2 linked regions of the Oryctolagus cuniculus genome follow. The protein of the gene in region 2 purifies or fractionates together with the protein of the main gene of each other region. This does not show direct contact. Links are inferred from orthologs where the notes say so. Each region holds a gene or a part of one and is shown on either strand. Other genes may lie near its edges. The genes, in order: FBXW11 and DEPTOR.

The links.
Region 1: the proteins of DEPTOR (region 2) and FBXW11 purify together in Homo sapiens (affinity purification with western blotting; 4 studies listed by BioGRID, with this or other methods). This does not show direct contact. The link is inferred for Oryctolagus cuniculus from reciprocal best matches to the Homo sapiens genes DEPTOR and FBXW11.

Annotation. Positions count from the first base shown.
Region 1 is NC_091437.1:58,572,563-58,576,375, forward strand, and holds part of FBXW11 (F-box/WD repeat-containing protein 11), read right to left. Parts: intron 3,686-3,813; coding exon 3,436-3,685; intron 1-3,435.
Region 2 is NC_091437.1:145,637,160-145,641,723, reverse strand, and holds the start of DEPTOR (DEP domain-containing mTOR-interacting protein), read right to left. Parts: upstream 3,086-4,564; 5' UTR 3,015-3,085; coding exon 2,626-3,014; intron 1-2,625. UniProt on the Homo sapiens protein: Negative regulator of the mTORC1 and mTORC2 complexes: inhibits the protein kinase activity of MTOR, thereby inactivating both complexes. DEPTOR inhibits mTORC1 and mTORC2 to induce autophagy.

The sequences.
Region 1 (3,813 bases), about 87 Mb from region 2:
AAACAAAGAGCTTCTGTGAATGACCCAAATATGTAATTATAAAATATGGCCTCTTCTAACTCAATATTGGAAGGCCGGGGGACAGACTGGACAGCATAAAATTTTTTTGGCTGTCTAGTGATAAAACTGGAATAAATATGAGGGAAGCTGCAAAGTCTCCAAACTTTGAGATCCTCACAAAGAGAATATCTACAAGATGGCTCAGACATTCATTTGCCTAACGCAAGGAGTTTGTGTCAGATTTTACATTTCTACGCCAGCTGACATATCACACCCAATGTAACTGATACAAAAAAAAGCTTTATCTTTCATACCCTCCTCTTTTTCAGCATAGGTCTATTTTTGATGTTTATTTTCATCTACTTGAAAGGCAGAAAAACAGAGAAAGACAGAAATAGACAGAGACAGGGAGGAATCTTCTATTCACTGATTCACTCCCCCAAATGCCTGCAAAAGCCAGAGATTGGCTGGAATGAAGCCAGGAGCTGGGGATTCTATCCAGCCCTCCCATGTGGGTGGAAGGGACCCAAGCACTTCAGTCATCTTCTGCTGCCTTCCGGATACACCAGAAGGAAGCTGGATCAGAAGAGTAGTAGCTGGGATGTAAACTGGCACTCAAGATATGAGACATGCATATTCAAAGTTACAGCTTACCCCACAGTGCTGCAATACCTGCCCCCAGCATAAGTTCTTAAATAGCTCCACTAGTTTTGAAACATCAATGCTAATATTATGTATGTGGATTAAATAATCCCCACTTTTCTGAAATCATGCTTATAGATCTATTTAATATATTTAATATATTAGGAAGCCAAATGCAGAGATATACGGCAACCTGAGAGGTGTGAATCATTTTACCAGCTGCATTTGTAGCCAAATGGGATAAATGAATATCCACATACAAAACAAGAGATAAATATCCACCTTATACCATATAAAATATGTAATTCAGAATGGATCAAAGACTTATATATAAGAGCCGAAACTACCCTTAAAACAAAACGGAGGAGTAAATCTTTGTGACACTAAATCAGGCAATGATTTCTTAGATGATAATAACAAAATAAAAATAATACAACAAAATTTAAAAATATAATTTGATGTCATCAATATTAAAATCATTAGCACATCAAAGAACAACATAAGAAAGTGAAAAGAGGGGTAGACATTTAGAGGACAAGTTAAGACACATTGTTTGGGATGCCCACATTCATTCCACAATGCCTGGGTTCAAGTCCTGGCTCTGCTTCTAATTCCAGCTTCCTGTTAATGTGCACCAAAGGAGAGAGCAGGTGATAACTCCTTGTGGGAGACATGGATTGAATTCCTGACTCCTGGTTTTGGCCTGGCCCGGCCCCACCTGTTGCAAGCATTTGGGAATTAATTAGTGGATATAAGATCTCTTTCTCTCTGTCTTTCAAACAAATAATTTTTAAAAAGAAAGTGAAGGGGCTGATGTTGTGGCACAGTGGGTTAAGCCACCACCTGCGAGGCCAGCATCCATATCAGAGCACCAGTTTGAGTCCTGGCTGTTCCAGTTCTGATCCAGCTCCTGCTAATGCACCTGGGAGAGTAGCAGAAGATGGTCCAGGTACTTGGCCCACTGCCATCCATGTGGGAGACTAGGACAGAGTTCTGGACTTCTGGCTGCAGCTCGGCCCAGCCCTGGATGTTGCTGTCATTTGGGAAATGAAATAGCATTGAAGATCTCTCTCTCTCTCACTCTGCCTTTTATATAAATAAAATAAATTTTTTAAAAAGTAAAAAAGACAACCCATAAAACAGGGTAAAATAATTTACAAATTATGTATCTGATAAGGGTCTTGTATCCAGAATACATAAAGAACACTTAAAACTCAGTGATAAAAAGACAAATTCCCTAATTTTTAAAATGGGCAACAGATTGAAACAGATATTTCTCTAAAGATGATATACAAATGGTCAATAAGCATATGAAAAGATACTGAATACCATCAGTTATTATAATCTGCAAAGCAAAACCAAAGATACTCTTTCTTGTACATCTATCAGGACAGATGTAATACAAAAGACAGGTAATAACAACTGTTGACAAGAATACGGAAAAACCTTCCAGCTGATATTACAAAACAGTTGTTTTTGCAATAAGGCCCAGACCCTGTTGACTTCAGGCACTGGTCTTGTACTCACTGCTGTGACTATGGAATAAATCAACACACAGAAATACTACGTGTTCAGTTTCCAGGCCACTTAAACCAAAGTTTGATACAATACAGTCCATGTTATGTGGAGCTAGGTATCAGAATACTGTCTAGAGCTTTTAACTGTCATTAAAAGACAGTTTTTTGAACAAGTTCAAACGCTTATATACCATTGGCATGTTTGCAAAACAGTAAGTTCATGTTGGAAAATAGTTTGGTAGTTCCCCAAAATATTAAACACAGAGTTACCATCACAAGAGAAATAAAAATACACAAACATGCAATAACTTATACATGTTTATAGTAGCACTATTCATAATAGTCAAAACCAAACTGAAACAACCACAAGCCACATGTATGATTCTAATTGTATAAAATATCTAAAACGGGCCTTTTCATAGAGACAGGTGTCAGGGTAGTGACTGCCAGGGACTGGAAGGGGCATGTGGGGATTCATTCATAATGGGTATGATGCTTCTTAAGATAAAAATCTTCCAGAACTAGATTGGGGTAATTTTAAACAACACTTCAGATAAACTAAAAGGTCACTGAATTATAGACTTCAAAATAATGAATCTTATGATATGGAAATTACATCTCAGTAAAGTTGTCATAAATACAGAAGAAAGCTAGAATTTTAAAAAGTTTTCATGGACACTGGAATCAGAATTGCAATGACCATATCTTGTGGACCATCCCAGGCTACAACTTCTCGTCCTATTTCTGCCTTCACATACACACCACAGGCTGAGCTTCCTGAAAGCATGGACAGGTCAGGCTCACCAAATCTCCAATATCCAGCCCAGGGTCAATGGCAAGGCAAGCTATCTAAGTTAAGTGAATAAAACAAGATTTGCTACTAGCTGTGTGACCTTCAACAGAGTTCTTCCCTCACCCTCTGAGCCATGGCTATGAATCAGAGGCAACACCTAAATAACAAAAAGTACGAGGATGGTTAAGTGAGATGTGACATAAAGCCCCTAGCACACAATGTGTGCTCAATGGTGTGGTTCTCTTCCTCTTGGAAATTATCAACAATGTCATTTCGTGAAATGGAAAACTATTATTCTCTTTTCTGGATCGATGACTTCCTCCTACCTTGCCTGACACTAAAAGTATGTGGAATGGGAAGGCTGCACAGGTTCATGAACATTAAAGAAGAATAAACACCTTGCCATGTACTGACCTGTCTCCACTCTCTCTCTGGTCCATAAGAGACAGAAGCAGGCAGGGCTATGATTAAAGACTCACTTACTTTGATGGTCCTGTCACCAGAGGCAGACACGATGTATTTATCATCAAAGTCTACTACATTGACAGCAGCACGGTGGCCAACCAGGACACGGCGTAGAGTGATGTCGGTGGCCGAAGCCATGTCCCACACGGCAATGGAGCGGTCCTTAGAACAGGTCACCATGAGTCCATTGCTGAAGCGTAAGTGCAGTACAGCCTCATTGTGGTGGATCAATGTGTTGAGAACTTCACCTGTGTTCACATCCCAGACTCTAAATGAAAAGAGAAATGCATGCTGCTCAATTACTGAGAAAGCCAAGAAAAGACTCTGTCCTCTAAACTGAGTCCACTCTTTTTTCTGTTTGTTTCTTTTTTTCTGAGAGACAGACAGGAAGCTCCC
Region 2 (4,564 bases):
AAACCACTGGCTCACTCCCCAAATGGCCTCAATGGCAGGAGCTGGGCCTATCCGAAGCCAGGAGCTTTTTCCAGGTCTCTGAAGAGCGTGCAGGAGCCCAAGCATTTGGGCGACTTCTACTGTTTTCTCAGGTCATATCAGAGAGCTGGATCAGAAGAGGAGCAGCTGGGACTCGAACCGGCATCCACATGGGATACCAGTGGTGCAGGTAGAGGCTTAGTCTACTATGCCACAGTGCCAGCCCCTACCCACCCCACTATTCTTAATTCAACAACTTGCCCAAGGTCCCACTCTAGTGAGGAGCAAAGTGGGGATCCACTTCCCAAAACAATGTAATGCTGACACTTGGCTGCTGTGGCTGAGCAGGAACTAATCCCAGGTTTACTTTCTGAGTAAAATAGCCTTCCAGCTTTTTCCAATATGGGCTTCAAACCTCTCACCGTCCAGAGAGCTACAAGCAGAGAGGGGAGTGCAAGTGTTCTGGGCCCCTGAAGACAGGCCATTTAAGCTGCACCTTGAAGGAGAACTTGCTTGCTGGGCAAACAGAGCTACCTCACAATTTGGTACTTGTAAAGGAAGTAAAACAGAAGTAACCCTATCCAATGGAGGCCTTGCAAAAGGTTGATACAGTAAGGAAGAGCAAAGAAACTATTAAAAAGAAAGTGTTTCAGGGCAGGTATTTGGCCTAGTGCTTCAGACACCTGCATCTCAGATACATCCAAGGTCTGGGTTCAAGGACCAGCTCCACCCCCTATATTCCAGCGTCTCACTAATGCACACCCTGGCAGGCTGCAGGTGACGGCTCAAGTAGCTGGGTCTCTGCCACCCACGTGGGAAGCCTGGATTGGTTTCAGCCTGGCCTAGCCCCAGACACTGCAGGTATCTGGGGAGTGAACCAATGGAGGGGGACTTCCTCCTTCTATCCCTGTTTCTCTGCCTGTAGAATTAATTAAAATATTTCAAATTAAATCAGGAAAGTTTTATTTTAATTTTTAAATTAGGAAATGCTCTTGATGAAAGAAAACAAGTTCCCAATTCCCTTTCATTCTGACCACACATTTAAAAAACTAACAAGGGGGCCGGCGCCGTGGCTCAATAGGCTAATCCTCCGCCTTGCGGCGCCGGCACACCGGGTTCTAGTCCCGGTCGGGGCGCCGGATTCTGTCCCGGTTGCCCCTCTTCCAGGCCAGCTCTCTGCTTGGCCAGGGAGTGCAGTGGAGGATGGCCCAGGTGCTTGGGCCCTGCACCCCATGGGAGACCAGGAAAAGCACCTGGCTCCTGGCTCCTGCCATCGGATCAGCGCGGTGCGCCGGCTGCAGCGGCGGCCATTGGAGGGTGAACCAACGGCAAAAGGAAGACCTTTCTCTCTCTGTCTCTCTCTCTCACTGTCCACTCTGCCTGTCAAAAAAAAAAAAAAAAAAAAAAAAAAAAAAAAAAAAACAACTAACAAGGAATAGAAATGCGCCATTTGCCTTTTTGTAGCGTTAAACTCAATGAATTTTGAGTTCCAATGTTTACTTCCTCAAAGTTACTGCAGCAAGCTGGGTGGTTATGGATCCTGCAGGGCCCTTTGCAAGATTCTCCTTCAGGTCCGGGAACACTGCCATAGCAGAAACCAGAAATGGACTGGGAAAGTTCAAGCCAGGAACTAGAAGGAACTGGGGCGTATGTGTTCTGGCAGGACTAGGGGCCCGCATGCAACTTTTTAGCTAAAGCACTGCGAATCTGGATTTTTTTTTTCCCTTTCTTGGTAAATTGATTTATGACCACACGAAGGGCAGCTGTGGAACCAGCCAGACCATAAGCAAAATCCTTAAACATACGGCCAAGCAGAATGACCAGAAAGGGCCGCGGATGGCATGGGGGGAATCTGAGGGGTATTGCACGCCGAGACCTGGCAAGTCTTCAGGCTGGCGACCCAGAGCCACCACGGACTCCACTGCCCCAGTGCCTGAAACGCGCGCGCTGGGGAGTCGGCACCGCAGCGGGGCAACCGGACAAGGGGCCTCCACGCCCCCTTGCGGCCCCACAGGACGCGCCAACTGGGTGACAGGAACAGGGTTCCAGAACTGTTCTCCGACTGCAGCCCCAGCCCTCGACCTAAGGCAGGCGTGGTGATCGGCCCCATTTCACAGGTGAAGCAACCAAGACTCAGGGCAGAGAAGGAGAACGTGCCGGCGAGACGAGAAACCGGAATGAAGCGGACCAGTGGAGTACAGAGGCTGGGTTCGGCTCGCGGCCCCGCACCGACCGCCCTTGCGCCCTGGGCAGACTCGGCGCAGGCTGTCAGCCCAAAGGCTCCGCAGCACCCAGGTGCCTGGCAAAGGACAGCGCGCGGCGCGTGGCGGCGAGGCTGCCCCGCGTGGGACTGCAGCAGCCGGGCTAGGGCGCCGCGCGCACCATTCGCTCCCCGCGTCAGCCCCCTCCGCAGCCCCACGCTAGTCGCGAGTCCGCAGGACTGCAGCAGCCCGGCGCGGGCGCAGCGCGGACCGTCCACGCGCCCGGGCGTCCGGCGCCCCGCGCGAGCCGCGCGAGCCACGAGCCCCGGCGCGCGTGCGCTCGGGTCTGCAGCGGGCACGGGCTGGCAATGCCACCGCGAGCCCACGGGCTCTGCCCTCGCCTTACCGTAGCTGCTCCCCGGTGACCAGGACCTCAGCCATGCGCTCCAGCTCCCTTTGCTGCACCCCGCCACTCCCGCTGGTGCTGCTGTCGCTGCCAGCGCTGCCAGCGCTGCTAGCGCTGCCGCCCCCCTCCATGCTCCGGGCCGCGCCGCTTCCACTGCTAAGGCTGTCCGGCGTGGGCTCTGCTGATCGGATCAGTTTGCCCTCACGGAGGCCTTGCCCGCCATCTTTGTTCGGGGCAGAACCGTTGCTCAGACGGGATTGGCTGGAGAGGGAATCCCAGTGGGTAGGCTCAGGCGCCCGGCGAGTCCAGCCCCTGGAACTCCAGTTTGGGGGCGTGTCCAGAACCCCGCGTGGTCCGGGGGCGGGGCCGAAGGAGGAAAATATAAACATCTGGGCGGGGCGCTGCTTGTGAGCTGTGGGTGCAGGTGGAGGTTGCTTCACGTGAGCCCCCTTTTCTTTATCCACGAAGCTCGTGCCGTGGAAACCTGAGGACAAGCCGGGAAGCTACTAAGCAAGGGTGCAGGCGATCCTGTTTTCCTTTCCATACCAGTTGCTACCGAGTAAAAAGAGTAACAGCATGCATATTCCCAGTGACCGGGGAAGGTAGGATGTGTGTGTCGCTGCAGGGCATGGAGGGATTGAACATTCTCGTGCCAACCCGCTTCACCAAAGCGGACTTTCCTTACAGGTGTACTTGATAAAGAACTCTGGGAATCATACAGACCTGAGTTCCAGTCCACTTCTCTAATCTCCTACTGAGCGTGCTTTATTTCTTGATTACAAAATCAAAATAATTGTGGCTACCACCTGTTGACACCTGCTGCAATAGAATGCATCAGACCCGTCGTTGCCTTGTTTAATCATTGGGAAAAGTCACAAACTGACTAGACGTGGATGTTCGTGTTAACTCAGCTGCGGCAGGTGAGGTCGCCTGTCTAGGGTAAACGGGTAATAAGGGCCATTTTAGCTTCAGAATCGTGTTAAAACGCTGCCTCTTAAAAGGGTCTATAATGGTATTGTCCACCTTTAAGAAAGCATGGAAGGAACTGTGCCTAGTGCCAAATAAATGTGCTGTATTTCTATTTCAGGCAGATTCCAAGCCTGGGCAGGAAGGCCAGCTGTTCATGTTGAGGTAGTGAAGAGCTATCTGTGCATTGACATTTTATGCAGCTTGTGGCAGTTTTTGCATATATGAAAGCCTCAGTACCCTAACTACAGATTAGTGTGAAGCTATTTTGAAAAAACAATGCATAATCCCTCAATTGCAGCTATGTAGGCGTTTACAGAATAAACATGAAGGTAAAAGGAATGATGAAAACAATTTTCTGTGCATATTCTGTACCAATTTTGCTATTTAAGACTATACTATCTTGCAGGTTTGCTATGCTGCACTACTCTTTTCTCATTGTTTTCAAGGAAGATCATGCTAGCCTTTTCCAATATTCAACAAAACTATCCTTCAACTTAAAATTCTTGGTAATTTCTTGAGTATTCTGTGCTTTACATGATGCTGAACCTTTGGCTTATATTGTTTGGTTTGGCCTGTTAGTATTTTTGTGTCCAAGCTACGAGTGAGAAAACATAAGGATAAAAAGGTGAGATGCCTTAATTTCACACCCAGAAAGCCAGGCAGGCCTTGCATCCTGGTTCTCAGATCCCCAGGGCCTGCTTAGCCACATTTCAGAAAGAGAACAGTTGTCCAACTCTCTCGTATGTTCAGCAGTTGTATTAGAGTTTGCCAGAAGAAATGGTCTGCTCCTTAACCTTTTTTAAATTGACCACGTTGGAAATGTTGACCAAAAGAGACTTACTTCCGGGTGAATGTGATTCTAAGAGTCTCATTCTACGTAAAAGATAGCAATCATTCCTCAGAAGTGGAAGTCACAGAGCCTGTTGTTCATGTTTTAATTCTATAATATAGAATGGGAAATAGGAACCTG